Linked DNA regions of Stegostoma tigrinum. The protein of the gene in region 1 purifies or fractionates together with the protein of each later gene. This does not show direct contact. Links are inferred from orthologs where the notes say so. Each region holds a gene or a part of one and is shown on either strand. Other genes may lie near its edges.

Region 1 (11,173 bases):
TCGGTAAAGCACGCAATAAAGTCTCTCTGATCTTCACCACGATTTACTGTCCTACTTTTCAGTGTAATCTCTAGTCTTATTAGCCGTCCCAACTGCATGACCTCAGTTTTCCAGGCTGTATTCATTTTTCACTGTTCTGCTCACTTGTCAGTCCACTATATGTCCTCCTACATAGCTTATAGCTAGCTGCCCTATTTACACTCTACCAATTTTCATGTCATCCTCAAACTTCATGATCACATTCCTTACATTTACATCCAAATCATTAACATGCACTAGAAACAGAAAGGGCCACAGCACCAAGCCCTGAAGAATTGACCAGAAATAGACTTCTCGTCACAGAAATATCCTTTTACCATTAGTGCCAGCTTCTAAACTGTCAGCCAATTTTAGATCCAACATACCATTTGTTTCAGATCTCAAGGACTCTTTCTTGAACAATCTGCCATGACAGAACTTAACAAATGCCTGGCTAAAATCTCACAGACCACACCAAATGCATTACACTCATCAACACTCACCTCAAAATTTCAATCAAATATTTCAAACACAACCTTTCCTCAATAAATTAATGTTGCCAATGCCTGAATAATCTGTCTTTTGCGAGTGCAGATATATTGTGTCGCTTAGAATTTTTTCTAATCAGTTACCCACCACTGGGATTAAACTGGCCTGTAATTTCCTGGTGTAGCTCATTCTTCTTTTTGTTCCAAATAACAGGACAATGTTAAAAGTTATCCAAACTTCTGGTACCTCACTTTTGGCCAAAGAGGATATCTCTGATATCTCCTCCCTAAACGGCCTGGAATACATCCAATCCAGATCTGTAGATTTATTCACTTTAAACACTGCTCAGCACACTCTTCTCTCCTCTCTGTTGATTTCTTCCAATATTTCACAGTTCTCCATCCTGATGTCCACAACTGTGTTGTCCAAATCCATACTGAACGCAAAGTACTCACTGAGGACTATGCCCACAACTTACGGAAAACAAATATTTAATATCATTCATATATTTTAAAAATCCTTTTGTTTTCCATTTTTTCTACATAATATTTTCTCATGCACTCTTGCAGTTTTTCCAAATTACCTTAAGATCACACTGGGCATTTTATATTCTTCGAGGGCCTTTGCCATGTTAAGCTATTTTCTCCCATCCATTAGTCTTAATGCTCATTTTCTTTGACATCCAGGATTTTCCTGCCTGGGTCTCACCATTGCAGGCACAAATTTAATCTGTGCTTTTGGTATTTCCTCAATGAATGCTTCCTACTGCTCTGACAGTTTAATGTGCAAGTAGCTGCTCCCAGCCTACCATTATCAAATTAATATTATAGAATCATACAGTAGAGGAGGTCCTTTGACCCATCAAGCCTGCACTGACAAAAAGCTACGCTAAATCTACATTAGCTCCATTTCCCAGCACTTGGCCCATAACACTATCTTAGTAAAATTAATATTTCCTCAATTAAGAACTTTTATTCCCAACCCATCTTTACCTTTGACCATAACTAACCTAAATCTATCGGAGTTGTAGTCACTATCTGCAAAAGCTTCCCTATATGCATTCCATCTGCACAGGCTCATTCTCCCCAGGTGACAGGTCCAGAACTGTCGCTCCCATTCTGGATTAAATTCACTCTTCCAGGTTCAATTGTATAATTTTGTTCTGAGGAAGGGTGTAGGCCCGAAACGCCAGCCTTCCTGCTCCTCTGATGCAGTTGGCCTGCTGTGTTCATCCAGCTTTACACCCTGTTATCTGTAATCATGTTGACTTTGTGATCTTATTAGAATAGAAAAGAGAATGGTCAAACGAGATAGATGGGCACACAGTGGGCAGACGGGTGAGCCAGAGCTGGGGGTGGGAAAGTCAGAGAGAGGGGGGCAGTGACAAAACATTTCAATGACAAAAGCTATCAATGGCATAACTGTATTCCTTTATTCATTCACAGGACAAGGGTGACACTGGCTGGGCAGCATTTAGTGCTCATCCCTAATTGCCCGGAGGGCAGTTCAGAGTCAACCACATTGCTGTAGTTCTGGAGTCACATACAGGTCAGACCAGCGGCTTCAATGACCTTCCCTCCATCATAAGGTCAAAAGTGGGGATATGTGCAGCACCATTCGTGACTTCTTAGATACCGAAGCAGTCCATGTTCATATGCAACAAGACCCCGGCAATATACAGGTTTGGGCTATCAAGGGGCAAGTGACATTCGTGCCACCCAAATGCCAGGCTATGTCCATCACCAATAAGACAATCTAACCACCATCCTTTAATATTCATTGGTGGTACCATCACTGAATCCCCCACTATCAACATCCTGGGGATTATCATTGATCAGAAACTCAACTAGACTCACCACAATAACGGTGGCTACAAGAGCAGGTCAGAATCTAGGAACATTGTGACAAGCAACTCACCTCCTGACTCCTCAAAGCCTGTCCACCATCTACAAGGCACAAGTCAGGAGTGTGATGGACTACTCCCCACTTGCCTGGATGAATGCAGTCCCAACAACACTCAAGAAGCTTGACACCACCCAGAACAAAGCAGCCCACTTGACTGGCACTACATCCAAAAGCATTCACTCCCTCCACCACCATCACTCAGTAGCAGCAGCGTATAGTATCTACAAAATGCACTGCAGAAATTCACCAAAGATTCTCAGACAGCACCTTCCAAACCTACAACCACTTCCATTTTGAAGGACAAGGGCAGCACACATATGGGAACATCACCACCTCCAAGTTACCCACCATCCTGACTTGGAAATATATTGCTGTTCCTTCACTGTTGCTGGGTCAAAATCCTGGAATTCCCTCCCTAGTCGGATTGTGGGTCAACCCACAGCAGGAGGACTGCAACAGCTCAAGAAGACAGCTCACCCCCATCTTCTTAAGGGCAACTAGGGATGGACAAGAAATGCTGGCCAGCCAGCGATGCTCACATCCAACAGATGAATAGGAATAAATATGGTAAAGATTGCAGTTTCCTTCCCTAAAAGGTCAGTGAACCATTTGGGTTTTTCAAACAATCAACAATGGATTCATAGTAATCATTAGATTCTTAATTCCAGATATTTTACTGAATTCAAATTCCACCGTCTGCCTTGGCATGAATCAAACCAAGGTCCTCAGAATGATTAGATTAGATTACCTACAGTGTGGAAACAGGCCCTTTGGCGCAACAGGTCCACATTGCCCCTTGAAGCATCCCACCCAGACCCATCCCCGTATAACCCACACGCCCCTGAACACTACTGGTAATTTCTCATGGCCAATCGAACTAGCCTGCACGTCTTTGGACTGTGGAAATCGGAGCACCCAGACGAAACCCACGCAGACACAGGGAGAATATGCAAACTCCACACAGACAGTCGCCCGAGGCTGGAATCGAACCCGGGTCCCTGGTGCTGGGAGGCTGCAGTGCTAACCACTGAGCCACCGTGCCACCCTAAATGCTATTAGGTCTCTGAACAAACAGTCCAGTGATAATACCACCAGATCATCACCTCCCTGATAACTGCATTAGCATTCTTGTCACTGCATTATCTCCAAACTATTAATGCAGAAACAGAGGTAATGGCCTAGGGAACATTTATGTTTGAATGCTGCCTGCCAAATTGTGACTTTCGAAAACAACAGAAATCTAGAATTAAGAATCTAACAATGAATCTAAAACTAAAGGTTACTGTTTAAAACTGTCACACATTTAAAACAGATGCAGTGAATTTTTTTGCTGGTGGAACATCTCAAGTCTTTGGAACTCCCATATTGAAAAAGTGAAGAAAGTCAAGTCGTTGAACACAATTAAAACTGGTAACAGATAGATTCTTTTCAGCCAGGGGATGATAGGTTAACAGGCCTGGGGAGAATATCGATTTAAGGTTACCGTCAGATCAGCTATGATCTTATGAATGGAAGAGCAGAGTCAAGGAGTTGAATAGCCTAATCCTGCTCCTAGTTTGTATGTAAAGGATTAGGATGGTAGATTTAGATTTTAAAAAGACAGAAGCAGCTCAAATGGAGTATCTTTAGCACCTCCTGGTTGGTTGTATTTGTGTTTTATGTAATACATTTCTACCTGTTGGATCCTTAGGATATTCTAATCACTTACTGTTAACCACTTGCCCTTCAGGTGGATACACAATGTTCACAAACTCTACGTGTACTAGGCCTACACTGATGAAGTTAAACTCGAGGAGAACTCGGCTCCCATCGGAATCTGTACAATGTGAACCAGTCCAGAAACCAGCAGAGAAACAACATGGCAAGTATTCATTAGACGCACATCTCTCTCTATACATCTCTTTCAATGAAGATTTCAACATCGAAATTATCCGTTTACAATTTGTGGAAGAGGAATCCCCGGACCATTCTCTCCCCGGGGGAGGGGGGGTACGCTCCCTCCTCACCCGAACCTCGAAGATCGGGTCGCTCTCCCCTTAGCCCCCGCTCACCCTCCAGGGTCACCTCCCTTCCAGCCTTCTTCAGGGCCTGTACGGCCTGGTCATGTGTCGCCTCCCGGAGGTCAGCTCCGTTCACCGCAAGGATGGCATCTCCCACGTAAAGGGCGCCGGTACGTTCGGCCGCTAAGCCCCGGAAAATCTTGGAGATGAGGATGGGCATTCGGTTCTCGCGGCCGCCCTTGATGCTGATGCCGAGGCCACCGGCTTCCTGTTTCACAACCCTCACGGTACGGACCCGATCGGCCAGCCCTGGACCCGGTTTCGGGCTGCTGGCCTCCCGGGGCAGCACAACCGCGGCACCTCGACCCGGACTCCCAGATCCAGGCCCCGCCGGGCTCATATGTACTGGAGTCGGGCTGGAGCTCCGCGGCCGCGGGGATCCGTTGGAGAGACCATCCCAGACCCCAGGCTCCAAGTCCTCGCTGGTCAGCTTCAGGCTATCTGCTCGCAGCTCAGCCCCGACCCGAAGCCACCCGCGGTCCCGGAGAAAAAGCTCGAGCGGCCCGGCCCGAACCGAGAGCCCGGCCGCCATCGCCCGCCAACCCAACAGCCTATGGGAACACGGCACTGGACAACCAATGGGACTAGTGCAATGGCCAGCCAATAATAGCACATCTTCAGGGGGCGACCGTCGGGAAATTGGCAACGGCCGGCCAATGGGAATAGTGCAATAGCCAGCCAATGGGCTCGAGATCCTGGAGGCTACCAATAGAAATCGCGCAACGGCCAGCCAATGGGAGCAAGGTCCTCCGTGGAGGCCAATGGGAATAATGCAATGGCCAGCGAACGGGAAACAAACTAAAGAACTGCAGATAACACAATGTGGCGCTGGACGGACACAGCGGGTCAGGCAGCATCTCAGGAGCAGGAAGGCTGACGTTTCGGGTCTAGACCCTTCATCAGAAAAGGGGGAGGGGGTTCTGAAATGAATAGGGAGAGAGGGGGAGAAAGTTGTTACAGAGATAGTAGGGCCTGACGATGCTGGAGTTCCTGAGATAACACGGTGTGAAAGTGGATGGACACAGCAGGCCAAGCAGCATCAGAGGAGCAGGAAAGCTTGACGTATCAAGTCGGGACCCTTCTTCGGGGGAGGGGGGAGGAGAATCTGAAATAAATAGGGAGACGGGGGAGGCGGATAGAAGATGGATAAAGGAGAAGATTGGGTGAGAGGAGACAGACAAGTTAAAGAAGCGGGGATGAAGCCAGTAAAGGTGTGTCGCTGGCGGGGCGATAGGTCTGTGCAGGGAGGACGGACAGATCAGGGGGGCGGGGGTGAGGCTAAGGTTAGTGGGATGGAGGTGGGGCTTGAGGTGAGAGGAATGGTTGGAAAGGCAGAGACTATAGACAATAGGTGCAGGCGTAGGCCATTCGGCCCTTTGAGCCAGCACCACCATTCATTGTAATCATGGCTGATCATCCACAATCAGTATCCTGTTCCTGCCTTATCCCCATAACCCTTGATTCCACGATCTTTAAGAGTTCTATCCATCTCTTTCTTGAAAGTATCCAGAGAGTTGGCCTCCACAGCCTTCTGGGGCAGAGCATTCCATATACCCACCACTCTCTGGGTGAAGAAGTTTTTCCTCAACTCTGTTTTAAATGGCCTACCTCTTATTTTTAAACTGTGTCCTCTGGTTCTGGACTCACCCATCAGCAGAAACATGCTTCCTGCCCCCAGAGAGTGTCCAATCCCTTAATAATCTTATACGTCTCAATCAGATCCCCTCTCATCCTTCTAAACTCAAGTGTATACAAGCCCAGTCGCTCCAATCTTTTGGACTAGCTGGACTGGTTTTGGCATATGGTTGGGGAAGGGGAGATTTTGAAACTGGTGAAGTCCACATTGATACCATTGGGCTGCAAGGTTCCCAAGCGGAATATGAGTTGCTGTTGCTGCAACCTTTGGGTGGCATCGTTGTGGCACTGCAGGAGGCCCATGATGGACATGTCATCTAAGGAATGGGAGGGGGACTGGAAATGGTATGTGAATGGGACTGCAGGTGCTCCATAAAGTTGTCTCCAAGCCCCACCACCCCTGGCAATTTTCCCTGCAACCCCAGGAAATAGAACATAGAACATTACAGCACAGTACAGGCCCTTCGGTCCTGATGTTGTACTGACCTGTCATACCAATCTGAAGCCCATCTAACCTACACTATTCCATGTACATCCATATCCTTGTCCAATGACGACTTAAATGTACTTAAAGTTGGCGAATCTACTACCGTTGCAGGCAAAGCATTCCATTCCCTTACTACTCTCTGAGTAAAGAAACTACCTCTGACATCTGTCCTATACCTTTCACCCCTCAATTTAAAGCTATGCCCCCTCATGCTCACCATCACCATCCTAGGAAAAAGGCTCTCCCTATCCACCCCTCTGATTATTTTATATGTCTACAATTAAGTCACCTCTCAACCTTCTTCTAACAAAAACAACCTCAAGACCCTCAGCCTTTCCTCATAAGACCTTCCCTCCATACCAGGCAACATCCTAGTAAATCTCCTTTGCACCCTTTCAAAGCTTCCACATCCTTCTTATAATGCAGTGACCAGAACTGTACGCAATACTCCAAGTGCGGCCGCACCAGAGTTTTGTACAGCTGAACCTCTTGTTTCCGGAACTCAATCCTCTATTAATAAACGCTAAAACACTGTATGCCTGGGTGGCGACTTTCAAGGATCTGTGTACATGGACACAGAGATCTCTCTGCTCATCTACACTACTAAGAATCTTACCATTAGCCCAGTACTTTGCATTCCGGTTACTCCTACCAAAGTGTATCACCTCACACTTGTCTGCATTAAACTCCATTTGCCACCTCTCAGCCCAGCTCTGCAGCTTATCTATGTCTCTCTGTAACCTACAACATTCTTCTTCACTATCCACAACTCCACTGACCTTGGTGTCGTCTGCAAATTTACTAACCCATCCTTCTACGCCCTCATCCAGGTCATTTATAAAAATGACGAGAAGCAGTGGACCCAACACCAACCCTTGCGGTACACCATTAGTAACTGGTCTCCAGGGTGAACATTTCCCATCAACCACCATCCTCTGTCTTCTTTCAGCAAGCCAATTTCTGATCCAAACTGCTATATCTCCCATAATTCCATTCCTCCGTATTTTGTACAAAAGCCTATTGCGGGGAACGTTATTGAATGCTTTGCTGAAATCCATATGCACCACATCAACCAGTTTACTCTCATCTACCTGTTTGGTCACCTTCTCAAAGAACGCAATAAGGTTTGTGAGGCATGACCTTCCCTTCACAAAACCATGCTGACTATCCCTAATCAAATTATTCTATTCTAGATGATTATAAATCCTATCCCTTATAACCTTTTCCAACACTTTACCAACAACTGAAGTAAGGCTCACTGGTCTATAATTACCAGGGTTGTCTCTACTCCCCTTCCCGAACAGGGGAACCACATTTGCTATCCTCCAGTCGCCTGGGACTATTCCTGTAGACAATGACGAGTTAAAGATCAATGCCAAAGGCTTGGCAGTCTCCTGCCTGGCTTCCCAGAGGATCCTAGGATATATCCCATCCGGCCCAGGGGACTTATCTGTCTTCACCCTCTGTAGGATTTCTAATACCTCTTCCTTGTGAGCCTCAATCCCACCTAGTCTAGTAGCCTGTATCTCAGTATTCTCGACAACATTGTCGTTTTCTACAGGATGTACTACACCTGCCCCTACACCCCTATCCCAGGTCCCAAGAATACGTTCCACATCAAACATGTTCACCTGCACATCTGCTAATGTGATATACTGTATCCACTTTTCCGATTGTGGCCTCCTCTACAATCGGGGAAACCAAGCAGAGGCTTGGGGACTGCGTTGTGGTGTTTTATCTCAGAGTCTAGCAGCAGCAGTTCCTACTATCTTTGGGTCTGACACAAGAGTCATAGAACTACACAGCCCAGAAACCGACACAACTCGTCCGCGCAGACCAGAGATCCAAAATTCATCTAATCCCATTTGGGAGTATTTGGCCCATATCCCTTCAAACACATTCTGATAATGTACCCATCCAAATGCCCCCATTGGAACAGGATACAATGCTCAACTCATCAACCCAAGATTGGTACCCATGCGGACAGCCTCAACTGGGATCTTGGGTTCATGTTGCACTACAGGTGACCGTAACACACTATACACTCTCACTCCCCCTCAAACACACAGACACATGCTCGATCTCTCTCTAACACCCCGCCCCCCCAACACACACACACACAGATACTCTCTTGCTTGCAATCTTTGTTTAATGCCCCCCCCAACAAACAGATTCTCTCTTGCTTTCACTCTCTCTCTCTCTCTCTCATGTTCCCCACACACAGACACTAACATTGTTCAACTCATTGAACGCCAGTGCCACAGCGAAAAACCGTAATGGCCTCCTTCGAAGACAGACACAGATACATCTGATAGGGTACCCTTCATTGTCCAGCATTTCCTGGGAGTACAGAAACTACACCATCTTCTTCGCAGCCTTCAATACATTATCAGTGACAATGTGCACCTCACCAAGATCTTCCCCATGCCTCCACTTTTCACCTTCAAACAACTACCAAACCTCATTGTTCACAGCAAACTACCCAGTCTTCAGGACAACATCGAATACAACACAGTACAACCCTGTTATGGCAACCTCTGCAAGACATGTCAGATCATCAACATGGACACTTCCGTCACACGTGGGAACACGCCCCACCACATACACAGCAGATACTCATGTAACGTGGCAGGTAAGGATGCCCCAAGGCATGGTATATTGGTGAAACATTGCAGATGCAGTGACAATGGATGAATGGACACTGCGCTATAATCACCAGATGTTCCCTCCAGTGGAGGAGCACTTCAGCTATCAATGATATACAGCCCCGGATCTTCGGGTAAACGTTCTCCAAGGCGGACTTCGAGGTACACGACAACATGGAGTGGCCGAGCATAGGCTGATAGCCAAGTTTGGTCCCCATGAGGGCAGCCTCAACTGGGATCTTGGGATCATGTCACACTACAGGTGACCATACCACACTATACACTCTCACTTCCCCTCAAACACGCAGACACACACTCTATCTCAATAACGCCCCCCCCCCCCAACACACACACACACACTCGCTTGCACTCTTAACACTCAGATTTTCTCTTGCTCTCTCTCTAATGCCCCCCCCGACACACGCACTCTCTCTCTCTCTCTCTCTCTCATTCTAAAGCCTCCATACACACCAGACACGTGCTCGCTCTCTCGCACCTGCACTCTCTCCACACCCCCTCCCCCTCACCTGATGTTTGGCAACCTTCAGATTAAACTACCAATCATCTCTGTCTCATGAGACAACAGCCTATGGCTCTTTGGGATTATGGCACCTTTTGTCTATAATCGCTATGACCTCAATGTCTATCTAGCCCTAACCTTCAGACAATCTAAAATTGCAATATCTATCATGGATGTTCTACTTCCATCATCTCTTCTTGGCTCCCTGCTACTTAATGCATTGTATTTGAAAACATTATGCTGACATTATATGGCCTTTCCCTCGTGTTTTCAATCATCACATCCCACCAAGTCACCTAGAAATCTTTATCTCACTATCCACTTTAATGTTGCAGCACATCTCGTCCGTTGCACCTTCCTTCCTACTTCACCTTTGGCCTCAAGACAATCTGATTTACTGACTTTACTGCATCCTTTAATCCAAAGCTTCTGTAAATCAATACCCTGCATTGAACACCCCTACCCGAACATTTCAATTTAACAGCAAAAATTCATTTGAGATGAGGGGAGATGATGGCCTAGAGGTATTATCCCCCGACTGCTAATCCAGAGACCCAGAAAATGTTCTGGGGACCTGGGTTCAAATCCTGATACAGCAGATGGTGAAATTTGAATTCAATAAACATCTGGAATTAAGAGTCTAATAATGATCATGAATTGATTGTTGGGAAAAAACCCATCTGGTTCAGCAGGGAAAGAAACTACCATCCTTACCTGGTCTAGACTACATGTGACTCCAGACCCACAGCAATGTGATCCCCTTTGAGCAGTTAGGGATGGGCAATAAATGCTGCCTGGCCAGTGATGCCCTCATTCTGTTAATGAATAAACGTACAGTCTGGATTCACTTTACAGGGAAAACTGCATTTCACTCACGGCACTTGATCATGACTCAGCTGCTTCATTCCATAAGCTTGGTACTGCTGTGCAATGATCTGTATGGAAACAGAGTTCAGGTTTCAATCATGGATTCATACGGCATCTTTAATTTAGGTGCTGCACAGAGCAGTAACAGGACAAAGTGTGCATGTATATCATCCTGTGACAAATCCAGTGATGTGGCTTAATTTTAAGTGACAGAACAGGCGAACTTAGCAATTCCTCCACAACATCCCGCAATACAACAGGTCACTTGGAGAAATTTCATTTGTAGGATTGAAACGTCATTCAGGGTTGATTGTGTGTCCTTGCTCATTTCGATTAAATCCAGGCCATTTGTGGGAAGTGGGAAGACAAAGTGAATCAATATTTGCCAGTGGCCTGACACCTTATTTAAGTTTGACACAGCATTTATTTCAAATAAAAAATTACAAGTTTGTAACTCCATTATAAGGTTTAAAGGATAATCTAGGGAGCAATCTGAAAGATCTTGAAAAAACATAACAAAAGGAACCGACAGCAACTCAATTCATTT
Region 2 (10,927 bases), on another chromosome or scaffold:
AGGGTTGCACGTTCTGCGGGGGACTGGTTGGAGTGGGTGACAGGGGTGGAGAGGTTGAGGCGATTGATGTCTCGGCGACAGTTGGAGATGATGAGGTTGAGGGAGGATAGGAGGCCTTGGGGTGGTGTTCAGGAGGAGGGACTTGTGTTGGAGGCGGGTGAAGGGGTCAGTGGAGGGAGGGTTAGGCTCACGGCGTGCAGGTGAAGGCGGCGGAAAAAGTGCTCTATGTCTAAACGTGACCGGTATTCATTGATGTGAGGGTGGAGAGGGACAAAGGTTCGTCCTCAGTCAGGAGGAGGAGGTCTGTGGGGGTGGGGGGGGGATGGTGAAGATTCGGCAGGGCTCAGTGTAGCTGTCTCCTATGCAACTGCTGGTCATGAAGTTGTACAGAATTTTATTGAAGCCACAGCTACAGTAGTGTTTGCAGTTCTCGTAATCACATTACAGGAATTATTTTATTACACTAGATGGGGTGCAGAGGAGATTCATCAGGATGCTGCCTGGGATGGAAAATTCAAGTTGTGAAGAAAGGTAGGATAGCATGGGTTGTTTCTGTCGGGGCAGAGAAGATCAAGACGCTATTTGATTGAGGTATACAAAATTATGAGGGGCAAGAGCAGAGTGGATTAGGAACATCTGTTCCCCTTGTTTGAAGGGTCAATTACAAGGAAGCAGAGGTTCAAGATGGGGGAATGGTAAGCAACACTTTTTATAGTCAGAAAGTGGTTATGGTCTGGCATTCGCTGCCTGGGAGGGTGGTAGAGGTGAATTTCCTCATAGCCTTTAAAAGAAGTAGCTGGATGAGCTCTTGTCATGTTATAACATTCAAGGCAATGGCCCATGTGCTGATAAATGAGATCAGGTCACAGGTCAGGTGTTTCTCACTTGTCGTTGCAGAGTCAATGGGCTGAAGGATGTCTCCTGCGATTGTACGATTTAAAGGGTAGCTGCTGAGGGGTGCTTTTCTGGCTGGAAATCTGTGAGCAGTGATGTTCTGCAGGCATCAGTACTGGGACCCCTGTTGTGGTAATATATATAAATGATGTGGATGGAAATGTAGGTGGTCTGATTAGTAATTTTGCAGACGTCATGAAAATTGGCAGAGTTGTGGATAATGAGGAAGGTTGTCAAAGGATACAGCAGGATATAGATCAGTTAGAAAGTTGGGCAAAGAAATTGCAGTAGGCATTTATTTCAGAAAAATGTGAGGTGATGCATTTTGGTAGGTCAAATGCAAGTGAAAAGTATACAGTGAATGGCAAGACCCTTTTGTGCACTAATATACAGATGAACTTTGGAGTGCATGTTCACATCTCCTTGAAAGTGGCAATACAAGTGGATAAGGCAGTAAATAAGGCAATACGGCATGCTTGCCTTCATTAGTCAGGCAACTGAGTATAAAAGTTGGCAAGTCATTTGCAACTGTATAAAACTTTAATTGAGCTACACGTGGAGAACTGTGTGCAGATCTAGTCACTACACTACAGTAAAGGTTTGGAGGCTTTGGAGAGGATGCAGAAGACGTTTACCAGGATGTTGCCTGGATTGGAGTCTATTAGCTATAAGGAGATTTTGGACAAACTTGGATTGTTTTTGCTAGAGCATTCGTGCCTGAGGGGTGACTTGATAGAAGTGTGTAAATTATGAGAGGCATAGATAGTCAGAGTCTTTTACCCACAGTGGAAATGTCAAATACTAAGGGGCTTAGGTTTAAATGGAGGGTGGGTAGTTTAAAGAAGATGTGCAACAGAGTTAGCATTAAGGCTACTGTTAGATTTAGGGTTTTAATTTTTCTTTACACAGAGGGCGGTAGGTCCATAGAATCCACTGCCAAACAGGTGATAGAAGCAGATACAAAATCAATGTTTAACAGGCATATGGACCGACCAATGGACATGCAGGGAATAGAAGGATGTGGACCACGTGCACAAAGATGGGATTAGTTGAGAATGGCATTATGGTCAGTGCAGACATGGTGGGCGAAATGGCCTGTAACTGTGTTGTAGTATTTCATGTTTTTATAGTAAAGACATCAGACTTCTACACCCTCACCAACCTCTTCACAAAGGCACTGACTGAACATGCAAGTAATGGCCGGACTATGTGCCAATTTCATTTAAAACAAGCATAATTATGACTAGTGTGTTGGAACATGACAACAAAGAAAATAAGCTGCTAATAATTAACTTTACGAATTGCACAATGAGTACGATTGTGCTTTTTAATCTAAACAGCTGATCAAGTAGGCACAGAAGAATTTATTCCTAGTCGGAGTGCTTTCATAAATACATGAGCCGTTCCAAGCCTGCATAACAAGACAGAACCACCCTCCACAACAATACAATCCCAAAATTTGTCTCAAATATCCTCACTCAAAAGCAAACATAAAAGGGGTTCAGATATATTTCAACAAGTTAATACAATGGTCCATCAACATTTTGGGAAATTAGGCGCTACGCAAGCTGCCATATGCATGTAAGTTTTTTCCTCTCAGTTTGCTTTCACTGGCACACAAGCAAGATGGAGCAAATTCTGTGCTTTTTTATCAATCATGCATTCTAAAAATTGGAATCTCCTGGATTTCCATGGCTCCTTCACAACATAGAAGTTCTAAGATCCTGTAGCCAAATCAGCTTGCCTGCTCCAAGGTTATAAAATCAACCCAAAAGGCCACCAGCTATGTTGAGAATCATTTTGTGTGACTTTCAGCAACATTAAAAATCTCTTCACACAAAGCAATCACTGTACAGTGGCCCAGAAAGCTAGAGAATTTGTATATATTCATCAATAGGTGCCACAAACAGAAACAAAATTCACTGCATATTTCTCCCAGCACTTTTTTTGGTGTGGTTGGGGTGCATGTGGGTAGGGGTGGCATGGAACACATTGTCTTAATATTTTTTCCAGAAAAAAATGCTACTCATTAACTAATACAAAAGAGTGCTGGTGCTACTTTGAATGACACTACTTTCACTCAATATAGAACAAACACAATATGTAACATAAAATATAATTAAAAACCCACAACATAATAGCTGTATCAAACCCCACCTCTACAACAGACTTGTTGCGGAAAACACCAAGCCTTTTGCTGTAGCTAACTGGTCAATGACCTTGCAGTCTGCTCAAAGGAAGTGATCATATTTACAGCAAGATTTGAAAGCCTTCAGTCCTCCAACACTAGCCACTGAAAGCAACAACAATGTGTTAGAGACATCTTTAAGATTTCAGGCAGCCTCAGTTCAGATGCACACAGCAGTCAATTTGCAGTTAAATCAATGGATTCAAATCTCCCAACTTTACCTGAATGGGAGGCTGAGCTGAAACATCAAACCACATTCATAACTGCTTTCTAATGACTGCCCCAACCCCCACCAGGTACTGCACAAGTAGAACTCCAAAACACTCAGGCTAGACATCATTTAGGACAAAACATCTCACTTGATTGGCACCACATTCACCACTTTCAGCATTCACCCCCTTCATCACTGACATAATGCCAGCAGCACACACAATCTACAACATACAATGCAGTTGCTCACCAAGGCTCCTTCAACAGCATCCTCCAAACCCACAACCTCTACCGAAGGAACAGGGTAGCAGATGTGACATGACCTCCAGCAAGTTCCCCTCGAAGTCACTCACCATTCTGTCTTGGAAATATATCATCGTCCTTTCGCTGCTGCTGAGTCAAAATCCTGAAACTCCTTACTTAACAGTACTATGGACATGCCTACACTACATGAACAGCTGTGATCCAAGAAAGCAGCTCACCATCACTTCCTTCAGGGCAATTAAGATAAAACAAAATACCGACTCACCCAATGACACCCACATTCCATAAATTAATTTTAAAAAAAGTTTGTGCACGGCAGATGTTACAAATTGTTGTTAGGCTAGAAGAGATTGAACAGATAAGGAGGGAACATGGCCATGGCAGAACCTGCAAGACAAGGGTGACAATTTTAAAAATTGAGATAACAACCAGATGCCAATACAGGTTGAGGAGAAGAAAGGTGATCAAAGAACAGGACTAGAAGCAGAGTTCTGTACAAGCTTAACTTATGGAGGGTGCAAGACAGGCAAGAAATATTCAAGTCCAGGTGGAACAAGGGCACAGAGGCCGATCAGCTGAGGCAGGGGCAGAATCAGATGATGTCACATTGGTGGAAGTTAGCAGTCCTACTGCTTACAGGTATGTGGTTGGAAGCTCATTTCAGGTTCAAATGAAACAAATATATTTCTGTCACAGGTAGGTACTAATTTGAGGAACAAGAAAGCTACTTGGTTACAATGGAATGGACTTTGTGATAAAGATTTAAATGAAATGCTTGGGGTGGGACAAGGTGAAATACTCAAAAGAAGAGCAGGGTCCTAAGCAGTCAGGAAACAGGCAGGTGTAATTTGGTTTTAAGAGTCACACCTACCGTTTTTTGCAGCTATGTAGACAAAACACACAAGACAGCCTTCAAATAAAATGCAGAAAGATATCTAATGCTATAACTGCAGAGTCTAAAGTCCACACACACCCTAACAGCTTCATTGAACATTCCAGTTTTAGAAGTTCTGTATTAGATAGTTCAATCTCCTGAGTGCACGCTGCATGGGAGACAAGTCAGGTCTTACTTCCAGATTAACATTAATGAAGATAAGAACTGCTGTGAAACAAATCTCACTTCGCACCGATGCCAAAGGTGCACTGTAAATGCAGCTTGCCTGGAGCCTCAAACCTTTCAATCCTTAATATATTCCCCAAAATTTTTCAAGCAAGGTAGTCATAAATGAGTTTGGTTCTATATTTACAAGTGCTCAAACTTTGAATTTGGTCCCCAAAAACTGTGTTTCCACATTAGATTTCTTGAACTGAATTTGCCTCAAAGCCAACAAAGCACATTTCAAATTGTATTCGGTGTTGAAATATAGGAACTAGGCCTTTATAACGTTCTTTAAGCAAACAGATTACAATATACCACCTCATTCAAGAGAACGTCTATTAAAACTTGCATACTTACTACCTAATCCACTTGAAACATGTACATATTTGTTGCAAGAAAGAAGAAAAGGACAAATTGTCCATGATAAAGGCTTCACACTCCGCACACTCATCTCTTAAATTCTGCTCACAGAAAAAATGCAGAGGAAACGGATGTTTAACATCACTCAGTGCAAGCTGGGAGGTAAGGGATAAATACAAGCTTACACTGCATGTGTCACATTCAAAAGTAGACAGCCACAAACCAGAATCAGCACTTCACTCTCTCCACCACTTGGTGTTTCTGAGGTGCTACTGTATTGATCTGATATTACTAAACTTGCTGTTTAATCAGTTTACTCAGCCTAATCATGGGTTGCCTTGTCTTTATAACTTAATTCCCGTCTTTAATTGAGATTTCAATGGTGCAAAATGATTGATGCACAGAACAGCTTGCAAAAGAAAAGCACATACCAACATAAACAAGCTATTCCGAACTGGTGATTCCTTCCCAAATGTGAAAATTGCTCATTTCCATTGTGGTTCATCTAAAAATATTCAAATGTGTATTTGAAGGAGAAGATAGGTGGAGAGGAGACAGACAAGTTAAAGAGCCAGCAGAGGTGACATTGCCTGGGCAGCTGGATTAAACAGTTGAGCAAAAATACCACGAGACCATTGTCTCCCCTATTCCAATAACCTGCTTTGCAATAAGCATTATGGACTAAATCGATCTATTAGTCCAATCCTATTTTCTCCAGCTTAGTTATTAAATATCACCACAGCTTTCCCGATCCAAACACAAACTGGCTCACGAGGAACACAAAAACGAGGAACTAGCACTGAAATTGCACGGTTGACTGCATTCACCAGGTTCACAAAAAAGAAAAGCATTGTATTGCGGAAAACTCCATCCATTCGATTGGGACTGTGACAACTTACCGAAAGAGTCATCCAAGCAGCTCTGTTCCCCGATTTCTTCATAGAGTCAATTCATACAGCATAGAAAAAGACTTCAGGTCCAACTCATCCATGCTGACCAAGTTCTCAAAACCACACTAGTCCCATATGTCTGCATTTGGCCCATATCCCTCTAAATGTGCCTATCTATGTACCTATCCAAATATCTTTTAAATGTTGTAATTGTACCCACTTCTGCCACTTCTTCCAGCAGCACATTCCATATACGCACTACCCTCTGTGTGAAAACGTTACTGCTCAGGTTGCAATTAAATCTTTCTCCTCTTACATTGAACCAATACCCTCTAGTTTTGGACTCCCTACCCTAGGGAAAAAGACCTTGGCTATACACTTTATCCATGCCCCTCATGATTTTATAAACATCTGTAAAGATCCGCCCTTCAGCTCCCACACTACAGGGGAAAAATGTCTCGGCCTATCCAGCCTCTCGTTATAGCTCAACTTTCAAGTCTCATTAACATCCTTGTAAATCTTTTTTTCACCCTTTCCAGTTTACTGACATCCTTCCTAGAGCAGGGCGATCAGAACCATATGCAGTATTCCAACCGTGATTTTACTAATAAAGCAGAATTACTACAAATAGCAATCACCAGCTCCATCTACATCCAAATACTTTGAAAGGCAGTTAACACCATTTTTCAACTGTTAATATACTCCTTCTTGAGACTTCAAGTGATGTCCAGCTGTGAAGTCACAAGTAAGCTATTAATACGCATCATCTCAAATCAGGATATGTAAATATATTTAAATATAGCACGGAGGGTATCAGAAGAGAATAGGAAAGTGTGATTAGTTCAGTGAGGCGTCAATGGCAATGCTAATAAGCAACACATGTTTAGTGGTAACAAGGTGCGGAGCTGGATGAACACAGCAGGCCAAGCAGCATCTTAGGAGCACAAAAGCTTACGTGTCGGGCCTAGACCGTTCATCAGAAAAGGAGGAGGCGAGAGGGTTCTGAAATAAATAGGGAGAGGGGGGAGGCGAATAGAAGATGAATAAAGGAGAAGATAGGTGGAGAGGAGACAGACAAGTTAAAGAGGCAGGGATGGAGCCAGCAGAGGTGAGTGTAGGTGGGGAGGTAGCGGAGGGGATAGGTCAGTCCGGGCAGGACGGACAGTTCAAGGGGGTGGGATGAGGTTAGTAGGTAGGAAATGGGGGTGCGGCTTGAGGTGGGAGGAGGGGATAGGTTAGAGGAAGGACAGGTTGGGGAGGCTGGGACGATCTGGGTTTGTTTAGTGATGCAGTAGGGGGACAGGACATTTTGAAGCTTGTGAAATCCACATTGATACCATTGGGCTGCAGAGTTCCCAAGCGGAATATGAGATGCTGTTCCTGCAAACTTCGGGAGGCATCGTTGTGGCACTGCAGGAGGCCCAGGATGGACACGTTGTCTAAGGAATGGGAGGGGGAAATTGAAATGTTCGCAACCGGGAGGTGCAGTTGTTTGTTGCGAACCAAGCGTAGCTGTTCTGCAAGCCTCCGCTTGATGTCCCCAACGTACTGGAGGCCACAACGGCTACAGCGGATGCAGTATACCACATTGATAGATGTGCAGGTGAACATCTGCTTGATGTGCAAAGTCTTCTTGGGGCCTAGGGGTGAGGGAGGAGGTATGGGGGCAGGTGTAGCACTTCCTGCAGTTGCAGGGGCAAGTGATGGGTGAGGTGGGGTTGGAGGGGAGCGTGGAGCAGACAAGGGAGTCAAGGAGAAAGTGGTCCCTCCAGAAAGCAGATAAGGGTGGGGATGGAAAAATGTCTTTGGTGGTGGGGTCGGATCACAGATGGCCGAAGTGTCAGAGGATGAAGCATTGGATCCAGAGGTTGGCAGGGTGTTACGTGGGGATGAGGGGGATTGTCTTTTGGTGGTTATTGCAGGGACGGGGTGTGAGGGATGAGTTGCGGGACAGTCGTAGACAGGGAGTTCCTGGACCAACGAGGAGAACACGGAGTCCAGATAGGTGGACATGATTTCGGTGGGGCAGGAGCAGGCGGAGACAATGGGTCAACCAGGACAGGTAGGTATGTGGATTTTAGGTAGGAGACAGAAGCGGGCAGTGCGGGGTTGGGGAACAATGAGGTTGGAGGCTGTGGGTGGGAGGTCACCTGAGTTGATGAGGTTGTGGATGGTTTGGGGCTCGGGGTGGCGTCATGATCCAGGGGGCAGTAGGAGATGGTGTTGGAGAGTTGGCATCCGACTTCAACGATGTAAAGGTCAGTGTGCCATACCACAACTGCGCCTCCGACATCCGTGGGTTTTATGGTGAGGGTGGGATTGGAGTGGAGGGAGCAGACGGCTGCGCGTTCTGCGGGGGAGAGGAGAGAGTGGTGGAGAGGTTGAGGCGATTGCTGTCTCGACGGCAAGTGGAGGTAGGAGGCCTTGGGGTGGTGTCCAGGAGGACGGCTTGTGTTGGAGGTGGGAGAAGGGGTCAGTGGAGGGAGAGTTGGGCTCACGGTTAGAGAAGTAAGCATGGAGGCAAAGGCGGCGGAAAAGCTGCTCAATGTCCAAACGCGACTGGCATTCGTTGCTGTGTGGGTGGAGAGGGACAAAGGTGAGCCCCTTACTGAGGACTGACCATTCATCCAGAGTCAGGGGGAGGTCTGGGAGGATGGTGAAGATTCGGCAGGGCTCAGTGTGGCTGTGGCAAAATAGTTAAGCTTCTGGTCATTAGTAACCTCCAGGTGTCAATGATAGGAGATTCAGTGATGATAATTCTGTTGAATGTCAAGGAGAAATAGGTACATTCTCTTTTGGGCAGTGTCATTTCCTGACACTCATACAGCATGAATATTACTCACTACTTATGAACCCAAGTGGAGGGTGGTGCCGTTATGCAATGAGCTGCCAGGGCAAGTGGTGGAGTTGGTAAAGAAACATTTAAAAGGCAACTGAATGGTACAACAGTAGGAAGGGTTTAAGGAGGGATATGGCCCAAACGCCGGCAAATGGGACTAGATTAATTTAGGATATCTGGTCAGCATAGCAATTTGGACCGAAAGATCTATTTCCATGGTGTACATCTCAATGACCCTAACAGCAGGTGTTCAATGTATTGTCTGCTGTCATTAAAAAGTGGTTGTCATTGAAACAGTTATTTGGGCATCACGCATATTGTCCAAAATACAGGAAAGTATAAACAGTGCAAGATGTGTTTTGCCCCTCGCCTGTCCAACATTTGTGCACTGCGTTTATCAGTCACCTAGATTCAAACATTTTCTGCAGTACTTAGAGTAAATTTCATTTTTGTTAATTCATTGTATTTCAGTTTTTGAAAGAAGTCCTCAAAATCATTGAGGTTGTATCCAAAATCTGACAGGTTGAAGTTCACATTAGTTCATGTGCAAAATTATCTTGAACATATAAATGTGAGGTGATACATTTTTGTAGAAGACAAAGAGTGGTCACTATCATTTGCAATGTGAGAATCTAGGTGGAAGAACAAAAGCATTCAGGAGTACAAATACACGACCCACTCAGCAATTAGTGAAACGCTTTTGCAGACAGATGACATTGACAGGATGGGCCAAATAGCCGCCTTCAATGCTGTGAGCATTCTACCTTACCATAAACATCAGACTTCATTTCTACAGGGATACATTTGAATAGTAGGAGAGTTATGTAAACCCATCTTGAAGCTCAGTTAAAATACATTTTGTGTACTGCATGTCTGATTGTATGTTATTAAAAATGAATGGTGACATGGCGAGATAATGGGAACTGCAGATGCTGCAGAATTCAAGATAACAAAGTGTGGAGCTGGACGAACACAGCAGGCCAAGCAGCATCTCAGGAGCACAAAAGCTGACATTTCGGGCCTAGACCCTTCATCAGAGAGCCTCTCTGATGAAGGGTCTAGGCCCGAAACTTCAGCTTTTGTGCTCCTGAGATGCTGCTTGGCCTGCTGTGTTCGTCCAGCTCCACACTTTGTTATCTTGGTGACATGGCAGAGCAGGTTTACAAGGGTAAAATCAAAAATGCACTGAAGGATGAATGAACACGGACAGCCTGTAACGGCAAGCTAACGAGGCATTCGGTGTTCTTTACTGAAAGAAAGTGATCTGTGTAGTACCTCATATAATGTGGTCTTGAAAGCTTTATGAATACAGACAGACAGACTTTTGGAGAGAAAGAAATGAACAGACATCATTCCGCCTCAAAAAACGTTGATGGCTGACCACACACAGATGTTCAAAAGCGTAAAAGTTTCAAAAAGAAGATTCAGGGAAATTTTTTCCCCCACTTGTAAGAAGAACATAATTAGAGACCACCAATGCATTTTAAAAAATCAAACAGAGAATCTGGAGAAAATTAATTTGCCCACAGAGTGCTAAGAATGCAGAACTCATTGCTTAGGATATTGAAGCAGCCAAGATAGCATAGTTGCATCCTTTTCATTTCAAGAGACAACAAAATATCTGCTGCATGTGTGTACATTAGTGTTTGCATTTCAAAATAATTTTTATAGGAGGCAATATGGAACACTGTAAGAAACATGAGATTGTGAGATATAAATATAGAAATGTTAACAACTGTATAGCTAAATGCATGTTTGTAGTTTTTCAGTTTCTAATGTATATACATTTATGCACCTATTAGTGAGAGGTAGCGTGGCTATGTGGGGGCGAAGACTGTCTCTCAAATTTCATTGCATTTTTTGAAGATGTGACAAAGATGACTGATGAGGGCAGGGCGTTGTATAGACTTCTACGTAGACTTTAGCAAGGCCTTTGACAAGGTATTACACAGCAGTCTGTACCAAAGGTGAAGTCACATGGGATCCACAGTGAGCTGGTAAGATGGATACAAAAGTGGCTTGGTCATAGAAACCAGTAGCAGTGGAAGGATATTTTTCTGATTGAAGATTAGACTACTGGTGTTCCACAGGGATTAATGGTGGGACTCCCATCATTTGTTTTATATGTATAAAAATGATTTGGAGGAAAATGTTGGTGGTCTGATTAGTAAGTTTGCAGATAA
Region 3 (11,158 bases), on another chromosome or scaffold:
GATGTTTCCACTAGCAAAGGAATTTCGAACTAGGAAATACGGTTACTCATTAACAGGATATTATATAAAACAGAAATGAAGTAATTTCTTCTCACAGAGGGTATTTAATCTTAGGAATTTTCTAACCCTGAGAGTTTTACAGGCTAGATCACAGAAAGATTTAAAATAGAGGTGAAGAGATTTTTGAAATATCAGGAAATTGATGGCTGTGCTAACTGGAACAAGAGTGGAATTGAAGCCTGAGGCAGATCAAACATCATTCTTATTGAATGGCAGGGCAGGCTTCAGAAGTCTATTTTTTTGTCCTGTTTCTTACATACTTACATCTGGTGCAATTTTGGTAGAGGCTGCAGGTTTGGAAGGCATTCTTGAAAAAGCCTTGGTGCGTTGCAGTTGTGTATTTTCAGGGTCAAATAACCAGTAATCTGAGCAAAACTGTGTCATATATAACTCATTTACTACTCAATGAATGGTCCTTTAAATAATCCAAAATGTGACTATTTTGCTTCTGGATGCTTATTGTTTTGGCAGTGGTTAATGTATTTGTTTTCTGCCTACCTCTTGACAAAATTTACGATTTTGATAATTAAAAGTCTCATTCTGATGCAGGAAATCGTGAAAGCAACCATTCAAGGTCTTCAGAAACATACATGACAACTGCACAAATGGCAATACCCTGTATCAATGCTACAAAGGTTGTGCAAGAAGCGCCAGTAGCACTCTGTGCAAATGAGAAATCTGCAGTAGGTGTGATAGGCTACACAATTCAATTTCACATACCCTGTGTATTTCAAATATCAGATGAGATCCCATTTATGGGTCAATTGTGCAAAGGTTTTGATGTTGAACTAGTAACCCAGGGTCCCAGGTAAGACGCTGGGACTCTATGTTCGAAACCCACCACAGAAGATGGTGGAATTTGAATTTATAAAATCTGGAATTAAAAGTCTAATAATGTTGATTGTCATGAAAGTTCATCTGGTTCACTAATGTCTTTTAGGGAAAGAAATCCACCATACTGCGTCCAGTTCTGGGCGCCCTATTATAGGAAAGATGTGGATGCTTTGGAGAGGGTTCAGAGGAGGTTTACCAGGATGCTGCCTGGACTGGAGGGCTTATCTTATGAAGAGAGGTTGACTGAGCTCGGTCTCTTTTCATTGGAGAAAAGGAGGAGGAGAGGGGACCTAGTTGAGGTATGCAGGATAATGAGAGGCATGGATGGAGTTGATAGCCAGAGACTATTTCCCAGGGCAGAAATGGCTAGCACGAGGGGTCATAGTTTTAAGCTGGTTGGTGGGAAGTAACGAGGGGATGTCAGAGGCAGGTTCTTTACGCAGAGAGTTGTGAGAGCGTGGAATGCGTTGCCAGCAGCAGTTGTGGAAGCAAGGTCATTGGGGTCATTTAAGAGACTGCTGGACATGTATATGGTCACAGAAATTTGAGGGTGCATACATGAGGATCAATGGTCGGCACAACATTGTGGGCTGAAGGGCCTGTTCTGTGCTGTACTGTTCTATGTTCTATGTTCTATCCTTACCTGAGGTCATCTTCATCTGACTCCACAACGGAATCCAGACAACTATGTGGTTGACTTTTAACTGTCCTTTGAAATGGCATTATAAGCCATTCATTTCTATCAAACCACACTGGAGCCTAAACAAACAAATGAAATCAGATGCACCACATTCAATGTAGACCCCAGAAGTAGAATAGGCAGCAAGTAACATTTGCATCACACAATTGCCAGATAATGATAACCTCGAAAAGGAAAAATATCTAAGCTTGCGATGTCTAATACAATGATTTCCGACAGTCCTTGTCTCCGACAGGTGATCTCACTGGCCACCCTTGTTTCCTTGTCATGTATGTCTCTGACAATCCATCTCACCGCCTGCCTGTAATTCCTCACAGTGAGCATGTTGATTACTATGCCTCTCTATGAGTTCTGCTTCCAGAAGCTGTAGAGAAAAGTTCATGTCTTTATCAGGATTTTCTTGCTTGTTGCATTGTGTTTCAGTTTGGTCCAGAACGACTTTCATTTCAAAAAAAAGTATGTTCTGTGATAGTATTGTAAATAAATGAATAAGAAATATATTAGGAACAGATGTGTGAAGTCTGTATATTAAAGTACTAGATGTATAGGAGCATGATGTCTGTGCGAACTCTCTGCAGCAGCAGCTCAGCTGGTCCCATTTTTCTTCCTGTTCCCTGCAGGCCTGAGTTTATTTTCCTCAGCTATTTATCTGCACGTGGATGAAAAGTTAGGATGGGAGCTGTTGCGCCCACATCCAAAATTTGAATAACGCAAGCCAATCATGGGCCCTGGAAACAAATCACAACATCAAAAATGACTTGCGGTGCCACTACATTAGAAAGCAGCTAGCAACATTCTGAATGTTCCAGAGACACGGGTTGACCAGCAGCAGAGTAATGTCTTGAATTACATGGTGAAGCAATAAGAAGGAGTAATAAACTGGGAACATATAAAAAGAAACCAGAAAAATGGGAAAATAAATTTCTGTTAACAATTGTAAAAGATGAGCATTAGCCTCATATGTTCATGTGTCATAAGTGGATATTAATAAATGAAAAGGGGAATTTGGTTCAACACCACTCAATGATGCAAAGTGAACTCAAGGACAGTTTTCACTTAAACAGATTCAGATAAAAAAAATATTAGTGAGCTGAAAGCCTTTTGAAAGTTCTACAGTCATGTTTTTCTAAGGCAGCAGCAAAGCCTGCACTGAACAGAATTTTGCATTTGTCATCTTCTGGTAAAGTGCAGGAAATTATTGCCTGATGGCAAAGTAATTAAAGAAACAATGACTGCAGCCACAGACGCTTTATTCAAAGACTTTAAGGACAAGGAAGAAATAATTATTGCAATCCAGAGCATGTCACTTGGTGTTTCCACAGGACCAGGCCAAATGGAATCTTTGTCTGAAGACATCTTTCAATAGCTACATCAGGGTCTCAAGGACTGTGACTACAGTTTTATGACTGCATTAACATGCAATGAGCTGTCAACCAGTACATGGTTATTTTGCTTCAGGTTCCTAACAGACATAATGTCAAAAACTGAATGAGGTGTTAAGTGCAGGAAACAGACAGAGTCTAGCATTTATAACTAGGGTTGTGAAGGCGCTCAAATTGAAATTGGGTCTGTGGTTATCCCAAATGAAAAATACACTGCAGCACTTTCCCAGCCTGGAGAAAATACTAGACAAAAATACAAGGAAAAACCAGAAAACCTCAGTGCACTTCTGACGAAGTTAGTAGAAGAATTCAACATATGATTTCAGGAATTAGGTGTAATGGAACAAACCATCATATTTGTCTCAAATCATTCCTTCAAGTAGACTTTGGTAGAAGGCTACCAAATTCCATCAGGTGTTTGATTTACAAGCAATGATGTTGCTACAGAGATAATTACCGGGAAAATGACTTTGAAAGTCAGATCAAAGGACATAAGCAAAAAAATTACCCACTCCTGATATCCTGTGCTTTTAATGCGGAAGCTTAGTTTGACTCCTTATTCCTCTGTGAATCAGCATTCTTTCAAATGATAAGGATGAATAGACAATAGACAATAGGTGCAGGAGTAGGCCATTCGGCTCTTCGAGGCAGCACCACCATTCATTATGATCATGGTTGCTTATCCACAATCAGTATCCTGTTCCTGCCTTATCCCCATAACCCTTGATTCCACTATCTGTAAGAGCTCTATCCATCTCTTTCTTGAAAGTATCCAGAGACTTGGCCTCCACTGTCTTCTGGGGCAGAGCATTCCATATATCCACCACTCTCTGGATGAAGAAGTTTTTCATTAACTCTGTTCTAAATGGCCTACCCCTTATTTTTAAACTGTGTCCTCTGGTTCTGGGATCACCCATCAGCAGAAACATTCTTCCTGCTCCAGAGAGTCCAATCCCTTAATAATCTTATACGTCTCAATCAGATCCCCTCTCATCCTTCTAAACTCAAGTGTATACAAGCCCAGTCGCTCCAATCTGTCAACATATGATAGTCCCGCCATTCCAGGAATTAACCTCATGAATCTACACTGCACTCCCTCAATAGCAACAATGTCCTTCCTCAAATATGGAGACCAAAACTGCACACAATACTCCAGGTGCAGTCTCACCAGGGCCCTGTGCAGCTGCAGAAGGACCTCTTTGCTCAAGTACATGTTTTGCATCTACCTCACAAATAATCATTTGATGGACTGTATATGACTAGCTGTTTCAAAGTACAAGCCAGACATCAAGGCACAGGCATATAATGTGCAGACACCGAAACTTGACGAGTGAAGACAGAGTTCAGTAGCACTAAAATAAACTTTTTATTCTATATTTTCTTCAGGGTAAATTCATAAAGTGATCTTGCATTTAAAAAGGTTGGAGGTAACTGATCTAAGCATTTCCCCTTGACATTCAAAGGCATTACCTGTGTTGAATGTTCCACTATGTACAAGCTGGGAGTTACCAGCAAAAAGAAACTGAGCCAGAGTAGCTATATAAACTCTGTGGCTGTAGGGACAGGTTAGGAGCCCAGAATTAGTTGGACTGAAGGGTCTGTTTACATACTGAGTGACACTATTAGCCTATATTGGTACATGAACAGGAAAGGTTCAGAGGGATATGGGCCAAATGCAGGCAACTAGGACTAGCTTAGTTGGGGAAACTTGCTTGGCATGGACGAGGTGAACTGAAGGGCCTGTTTCTGTGCTGTATGAATCTATAAATCTTTTCACCTCCTGTCTCCCTAAGCCTATCACCAACTAGAAGTCACAATTAGAGTGTAAGAGAACAGTTTTTTTGCTCACCTGGATAGGTGCAGCTCCAACCAATTTTTCTAAACAACCTGTTCAGAGAAGTTATTACACACCTTTGGAGGAGGTGGGGCTTGAATCTGGGCCTCTTAGTCCAGGGATAGGTACACTACCACTGTGCCACAAGAAGGCCTCGAGGTACAGCTCCACCAACAGTCAAGAAGATTAATAGTATCTGGGATAGAGTGGTCTGCTTGATTGGCAGCCCATTCAACACCTTCACGCTTCATTTCCTCCCCCATATTTGCTCAGTGACATCAGTTTGTACCCTTTACAATGTGGACTAACAGCATCTTCAAAACCATGACCTCCACCACACAGACGCACAAGACAGCCAATGCATGGAAATACCTAATCTTGCAAGTTCCCGTCCAAGCAACACATATTCTTGATCGATCCTTCACTGTCACTGAGTTAGAATCCTGGAACTCTCTTTCAAACATCACGGGGTGGCGTGGGGTGGGGTGTTACCTTCAGCCCAAGGAAAGTGGCGATTCGCGGGTGATGGCGAATAAATGCTGGTCTAGTCAGCGAAACGCACACCGCATTGACGAATACAAAACTAGGAATAGGCAATCTTGTCAGTATCACAATGTGGACTAATTTGGCTTTTGCATTACCTGAGTTACAATGGTGACTTTACAGATAGGTGGGAGAGGCATGCTTGGATTTAAATACGTGAGAATTTTAAAGCTGTTGAAATTGGGGAAACAGGACACAATATAGGTCAGCGCGGATAGGATGAATGAAAGGCATCAGTGATTTTAGGAAAGAAAACTCACATTGATGTAGTCTTCAATACAAAGATTGACCAGGATAGTATTAAAATTATGTAATTGTGTGACGGCGAAGGCCTGGAAGAGCAAGGCAGTGGCCACTGGCTTTTCAGTACTATATTCAACCGAATCTTCTATCACTCCCGTTTATTCACCAAGACATGTAATACAATAAATCATTTTAACACATAAAATATGTACTCAAACTGGGTCGTCTATTTTAGAACGAGGAGCACAGTTTCCTTTGTTTGGGTTAAAACCTGCCGTTTTGATGTGTAAACTGTCGACAAGGTGTAATTTGCTAAAACCACCGACGCGTGAGCGCACGCGCTACACGCAGGTGCTGCAGCCATCCAGGTTAACGCATGCCCAGCACTGGTTTGGCCACGGCCGGTTTGGCCTTCAAGCGCATGCGCAAACACTGTACCTCCATCTCGCCGCGAGCTCAGTGCTGACGCAGCCAGAGTGCGGGCAGTCGGGGAGCGGGCGTTGATTGGTGGTTACCTCCCTGACCAACCGCCGCCGCCTGAAACTGTAGCGGCGCAGCGACAGGGGACGGGCCGACACTAGCAGCCTACAGCACGACAGGGCGAAGTGTTAACATGGTCCGACGAGCGCCGACTGTAATATATTAAGACCTTTCTTTCATTGCGAATTATTCCCGGATTTTGGCCTGGATTTCCAGGGAGCAGTTCTATACAGAGAACAGAAGCCTTGGACTGTGGATTTTTTTTAAGGCAGTGAAAAAGAGAAGGTGGGGTCGCCAGGAGGAGGGCAGCGCCAAGCGTAGCCCAGCAGTCTGCTTTACCCGGCTGCTTCACTATCAATCAGTCTTCGTTTCGCTGGTGCTGTCTGGAGGAAAAAAAATCTTTTTCATTCATTGTGTCCTGAATTCTTTAACTGATCTACACGGGAAACGTTTTGTTTTAAAGACCAATTTCCACATTAGAGGGAGTTTTTTTTTACTTTGAATTCCCTCTCAAAATTCTGATTTTAATTATCGACTATGGCCGACGACGACGTCCTGTTTGAAGATGTATATGAGCTGTGTGAAGTGATTGGCAAGTAAGTGTGTTTTTTTTAAAAAATATATATATTTAAATTAAAGTAGAAATCAACTGAAGCCAGAATATTATGGTTGTGGTTTAATTCGTGGTTTTACTTAACGGGCCCTCCCTCTGTTTCCAGTGGATTACAGGATACGGCCGAAGGATTTATTTAGCTTTTTTGCATAATAACGAAAATAATTCTGGAAGTAAATTTAAACAAATAACATTTAGAAATCAACTTTATGCGTTAGGAAACAACTCATTATTTGCTACAATTTTATGTAAAAGTGGTACAGCCCATTGTGGATATTATTTACTTTGTAATGTATGAATTGAAATTGAAATATTGATAAAGCTGCTCTTGCATCTGAAGGATACGGTGCCTCCTTTTGAAGGAGAGGAGCATCAGACATTTATCCAGGAAATAATGAGTAGTTTCGGCTGTTTCCCGCAAAACCAAGAAATTTGCATTAATTATCAACTATATTTATGTATTGTTTTGATTCAGAAAGTTTATCGTTTAACGTTGTATGATATAATCCATTTTCTTAAGTCAGGTTGAAGATCAATTTTCGTGTTGTGAGAGCACTAATGCTCCAGCGAAGCAGTCGTTCTGATGCAGTGATTTTCAGTTAAATAAGGAAAGAATGTTTTGTCAACGTACAAGATTTTAATTGTCAAGATAAACATTTGATCAAGAGTTTCTCCTTGTAGGATGGGTCATTGTTCTTTTGTATTCTTAATTATTTTAAAACACTAGTGTTCAGGACGTGGTTTATGCATGTTTATCAGCATAGCATTTTTGTATCTCATTTATTTGTTTAGACATTTTCGTAACAAATATTTACTCTTTATTATGTTCAAATGGTGGATTGTTTTCTGGGTTTTTTTGGCTATGCATTGTAATATGTTTTCAGTCCTGTTAGGTAATCAGAATAGTGTTGACAGATAATCTCAAATATCTGTAATTGAAAGTAAATAGTCAAATATGACGCTTCTTTTGCGGTTATCTTTAAAAACTCAGGCTGTATCACAAACTTTTAAATTTAGCATGTAGTTTTAGAAATGCCATTCTTACCTTTTGCATCTATCAAGATTTCTTGTTTCAAGCAAATTGTTTTAAAAAATACAGCAGTAACTTAACCCTTTTTGGGTATTCAGATTCCTGAAGAAGGGTTTTTTAAAAGACTTGTGACCTTGTATATTTTATTTTAAAATTATATGTGTAACTTGCAACTGAACAACTGAGTTATGTTAAATTCATACTTCTGTAATTTCAGCCGAGAGAAATTGGAAGATTGCAATACTAAATATATAGAAATGGATTTTTAATTCCATTTTTGCAATTGAATCTCAGAAGATAGTGTATGAATTGTTGAGAGGATACTGACATAGATGTTACAAATATTTTGAGATGAGCCTGTCTTAACAGGAAAGTATAATGACTTGAATAGTTTTGCTTTTATATTCAATTGCAGAGCAAAATAGCTGTAAATAAAACAGATTTGTGATCACATTCTTTGATTTCACAGTTGCAATTGCATTTACTATAATGCTTTTTACTAAAATTTTGCGCTCCAGTTGTGTCTTTGGTCACATGATGCTAAGTTAAACTGCATTAGTCAGTTTTACAGTACCTATTTTAGGTAGGGACATAGGAGTTGTAAAAGTATCATTCTGTTCCAATCCCTTCAAAGCCTTGCTTCATTCTGTAATCTATTTACTATGGATATTGGTGAACACACAAGCCAATTCTTTCATTTCACCACTCTTGACCATTGCCTTCAGCTGCTTAGAACCTGACTTCTGAGATCTCCTCCATAAATCATTTCACATCTCCGACATGCTCTCCTCTCTTTTAAGGCCTTAAGTTTTTTTTTAAATGTCGTGTACCTATGTAATGTTTTGGAAAACTTCATCTTGATAAAGATGTAATTTTTGTTAAGATGTTTTATTTAAAATCTAATTTAGTTCTTTAGCATTTTGAGTTTGGAATGATTTTCAGTCATCTTTGGCTAAAGAAAAGCATCCAGAGTTGACAAATTTAGTTAAAGAAACAATTAATGAAATCAGATTTCAGGAGCAAAGCCTCTAGAATCGTTCAAGGGAAAGTTGATTGCTGTGCTACTGGAGTGTGGCTTGCATCGAAAGACAACATAGAAGGTTAAAGTTGTTTTTCTTGTCAACTAAAACAACTTTTGGTGCTTAGATTCATATGCATTTTATTCTTTGTTTTTTTTCAAAATCCTGAATGTACTCAACAAATCAGACAACATCTATACAGAGAGAAATTAGTTAACTTTTGCAGGTCACTGAACTTTCATCAGAACTGAAAACATTTAGAACTAAGTAATTTGTTGTAATGGATTAAATTTTCCTCATTGTTTCCTTTCAAAAACAAAAAAACATTTGATAGTTTTACCAGATTAAAGGGAACATACGAAATGACATTATTACATTTTGTTAGCTTTGTACGTAATGTTCAATGAAGTAACTTGCTGGTTCATTCACCTCTCCCCAAAACTGCAATCAAGTGTGTTTGTTTTGTCTTTTATAGGGGGGAAAAAAAACCCAATAATTAGCTAGAGGACTCATTCACAATGCGGACAAAACTCCTTGAAAATTTTGTAATAGGCATATGTTTTATTGGTGTGCATGGATGAGCAGACTCCAAGGGGTAAAAGTGGCCTGCTCTTGATCTAAGACTTGGAGACGGTATGGACCGCAGAGGTTGGAAGCTAGGGTCAATAAATGTGGAGCCGGAAAAGTACAGCAGGCCAGACAGCATCCAAGGAGTAGGGATATCAACGTTTCAGGCCAAAACCTTGACTTCCCTACTCCTCAGATGCTGCCTAACCTGCTGTGCTTTCCCACCTCCACAGTGATTTGGTGTTGATCTATTTTCTGATAGAATGGAGGATGGGTGATTAACCAGGATTTAGAGTATCAAGAGTTAGTGAAGCAGTGATCTGGATGTGGATTTTAATAGCAGATGCACTAAAAACAGGTAAAGGTATGATTGGAGGTGACCTTAGTGAATTCACAATGGTATGAGGTGGAGAAATTGTCTCTCAGATTTTGAGTGACGAATAGTGGTTCATATTCACAAAGGGGAAGTGATAGGTGATGTAATGGTATTATCACTGGACCTGTCAATCCAGGGGCCCAGGTAGTATTCTGGGACCCAGGTTTGAATCCCACAATGGCAGTTGGTAGAATATGAGCTCAATTTTTTTTTAAGAAATCTGAATTGAAGAGTGTCACGATGCCCATGAAACAATCACTGGCAGTTAAAATCCATCTGGTTCATTAATGTCCTTTTTTTTTACGGAAGCTAACTGCCATTCTTACATGTGACTCCAGATGACAGCAATGTGTTGACTCTTCACTACCCTCTTGGGATGGGGCAATAAATGCTGGCCTAAGTGGCAATACCCTCATCTCATGAATAAAACAAAACTTGTAAGATGTAGGCATCGCTGGCTGGCTAACCAGCATCTTATTACCTGTCCTTAGTTTCCTTTTGAGAAGGTGAGTGTGAGCTGCCTTCTTAAACTGCAGCAGTTCACATACTGTAAACTGACCCACAATGCCCTTTACGGAGGCTTTTTCAGGATCTTGACCCAGTTACAGAGAAGGAACTTGCGATGTATTGGGAGAGTGGAATCAGAATTCATGAGTCCTTCGGCCATGCACTCACGTCCTATGCGGACCAGGTGGCGGACATGTTCGCTGATACTTTTTAACATCATTTTGCTACGATCTGAAGTCCCCACCTGCTTTAAGAAGACCACTATCATTCCAGTAGCCAAAAAAAACACATACAACATGCTTCCGTGACTGCTGCCCAGTGGCTGTGACCTCCATAATCATAAAATGCTTCAAGAGATTAGTCATGGTCCACATCAACTCTAGCTTCCCAGCCTGTCTTGATCCTTTGTCATTTGCTTACTGGTGAAAGAGGTCTGTTGTGGACACCATTTCCCTAGCACCATGGAATATCTGGACTGTAAGGATACCTACACCAGGTTCTGATTTATCAACTACAACTCCACCTTCAACACTAATCCCAAACAAACTAATCTCCAAACTCAGACCTAGGTCTTGGCTCTGCCCTCTGCAACTGGATCCTCAGCTTTCTAACCCTAACCCAATCAGTAAAGATCGACAATAGCATCTCCTCCATAATCCTCAACATTGGCACATTGCAAAGATGCGTACTTAGCACTCTACTGTGTGGCCAAATTTCATACGAGCACCTTCTACAAGTTTACACGACGCTGCCATTGTAGGCCAGATATCCAGCAACGATGGGTCATAGGAGTGACGGTAAGTACCAACCCAGCCTGGACCTTCCATGTAGATGCAATGGTCAAGAAGGCACAACAAGCCTCTTCTTCCTGACCACCCTTCCATGGATGCGCCATAGAAAGCATTCTGTCTGGGTTCATCATGGCATCTGCTCTGTCCAGGACCAAAAGAAACTGGAAGGTTGTATATAC

The links.
Region 2: the proteins of sntb2 (region 1) and dystrophin purify together in Homo sapiens (affinity purification with mass spectrometry; 4 studies listed by BioGRID and IntAct, with this or other methods). This does not show direct contact. The link is inferred for Stegostoma tigrinum from reciprocal best matches to the Homo sapiens genes SNTB2 and UTRN.
Region 3: the proteins of sntb2 (region 1) and caska purify together in Homo sapiens (affinity purification with mass spectrometry; 3 studies listed by BioGRID and IntAct, with this or other methods). This does not show direct contact. The link is inferred for Stegostoma tigrinum from reciprocal best matches to the Homo sapiens genes SNTB2 and CASK.

Annotation. Positions count from the first base shown.
Region 1 is NC_081369.1:67,638,871-67,650,043, reverse strand, and holds the start of sntb2 (beta-2-syntrophin), read right to left. Parts: upstream 5,028-11,173; 5' UTR 5,005-5,027; coding exon 4,464-5,004; intron 1-4,463. Other genes in the region: utp4 (U3 small nucleolar RNA-associated protein 4 homolog), read right to left, coding at 11,172-11,173. UniProt on the Homo sapiens protein: Adapter protein that binds to and probably organizes the subcellular localization of a variety of membrane proteins. May link various receptors to the actin cytoskeleton and the dystrophin glycoprotein complex.
Region 2 is NC_081362.1:550,707-561,633, forward strand, and holds the start of dystrophin, read right to left. Parts: upstream 5,119-10,927; 5' UTR 5,107-5,118; coding exon 5,013-5,106; intron 1-5,012.
Region 3 is NC_081365.1:43,393,811-43,404,968, forward strand, and holds the start of caska (peripheral plasma membrane protein CASK), read left to right. Parts: upstream 1-6,057; 5' UTR 6,058-6,613; coding exon of another isoform or gene 6,614-6,672; intron 6,673-11,158. UniProt on the Homo sapiens protein: Multidomain scaffolding Mg(2+)-independent protein kinase that catalyzes the phosphotransfer from ATP to proteins such as NRXN1, and plays a role in synaptic transmembrane protein anchoring and ion channel trafficking.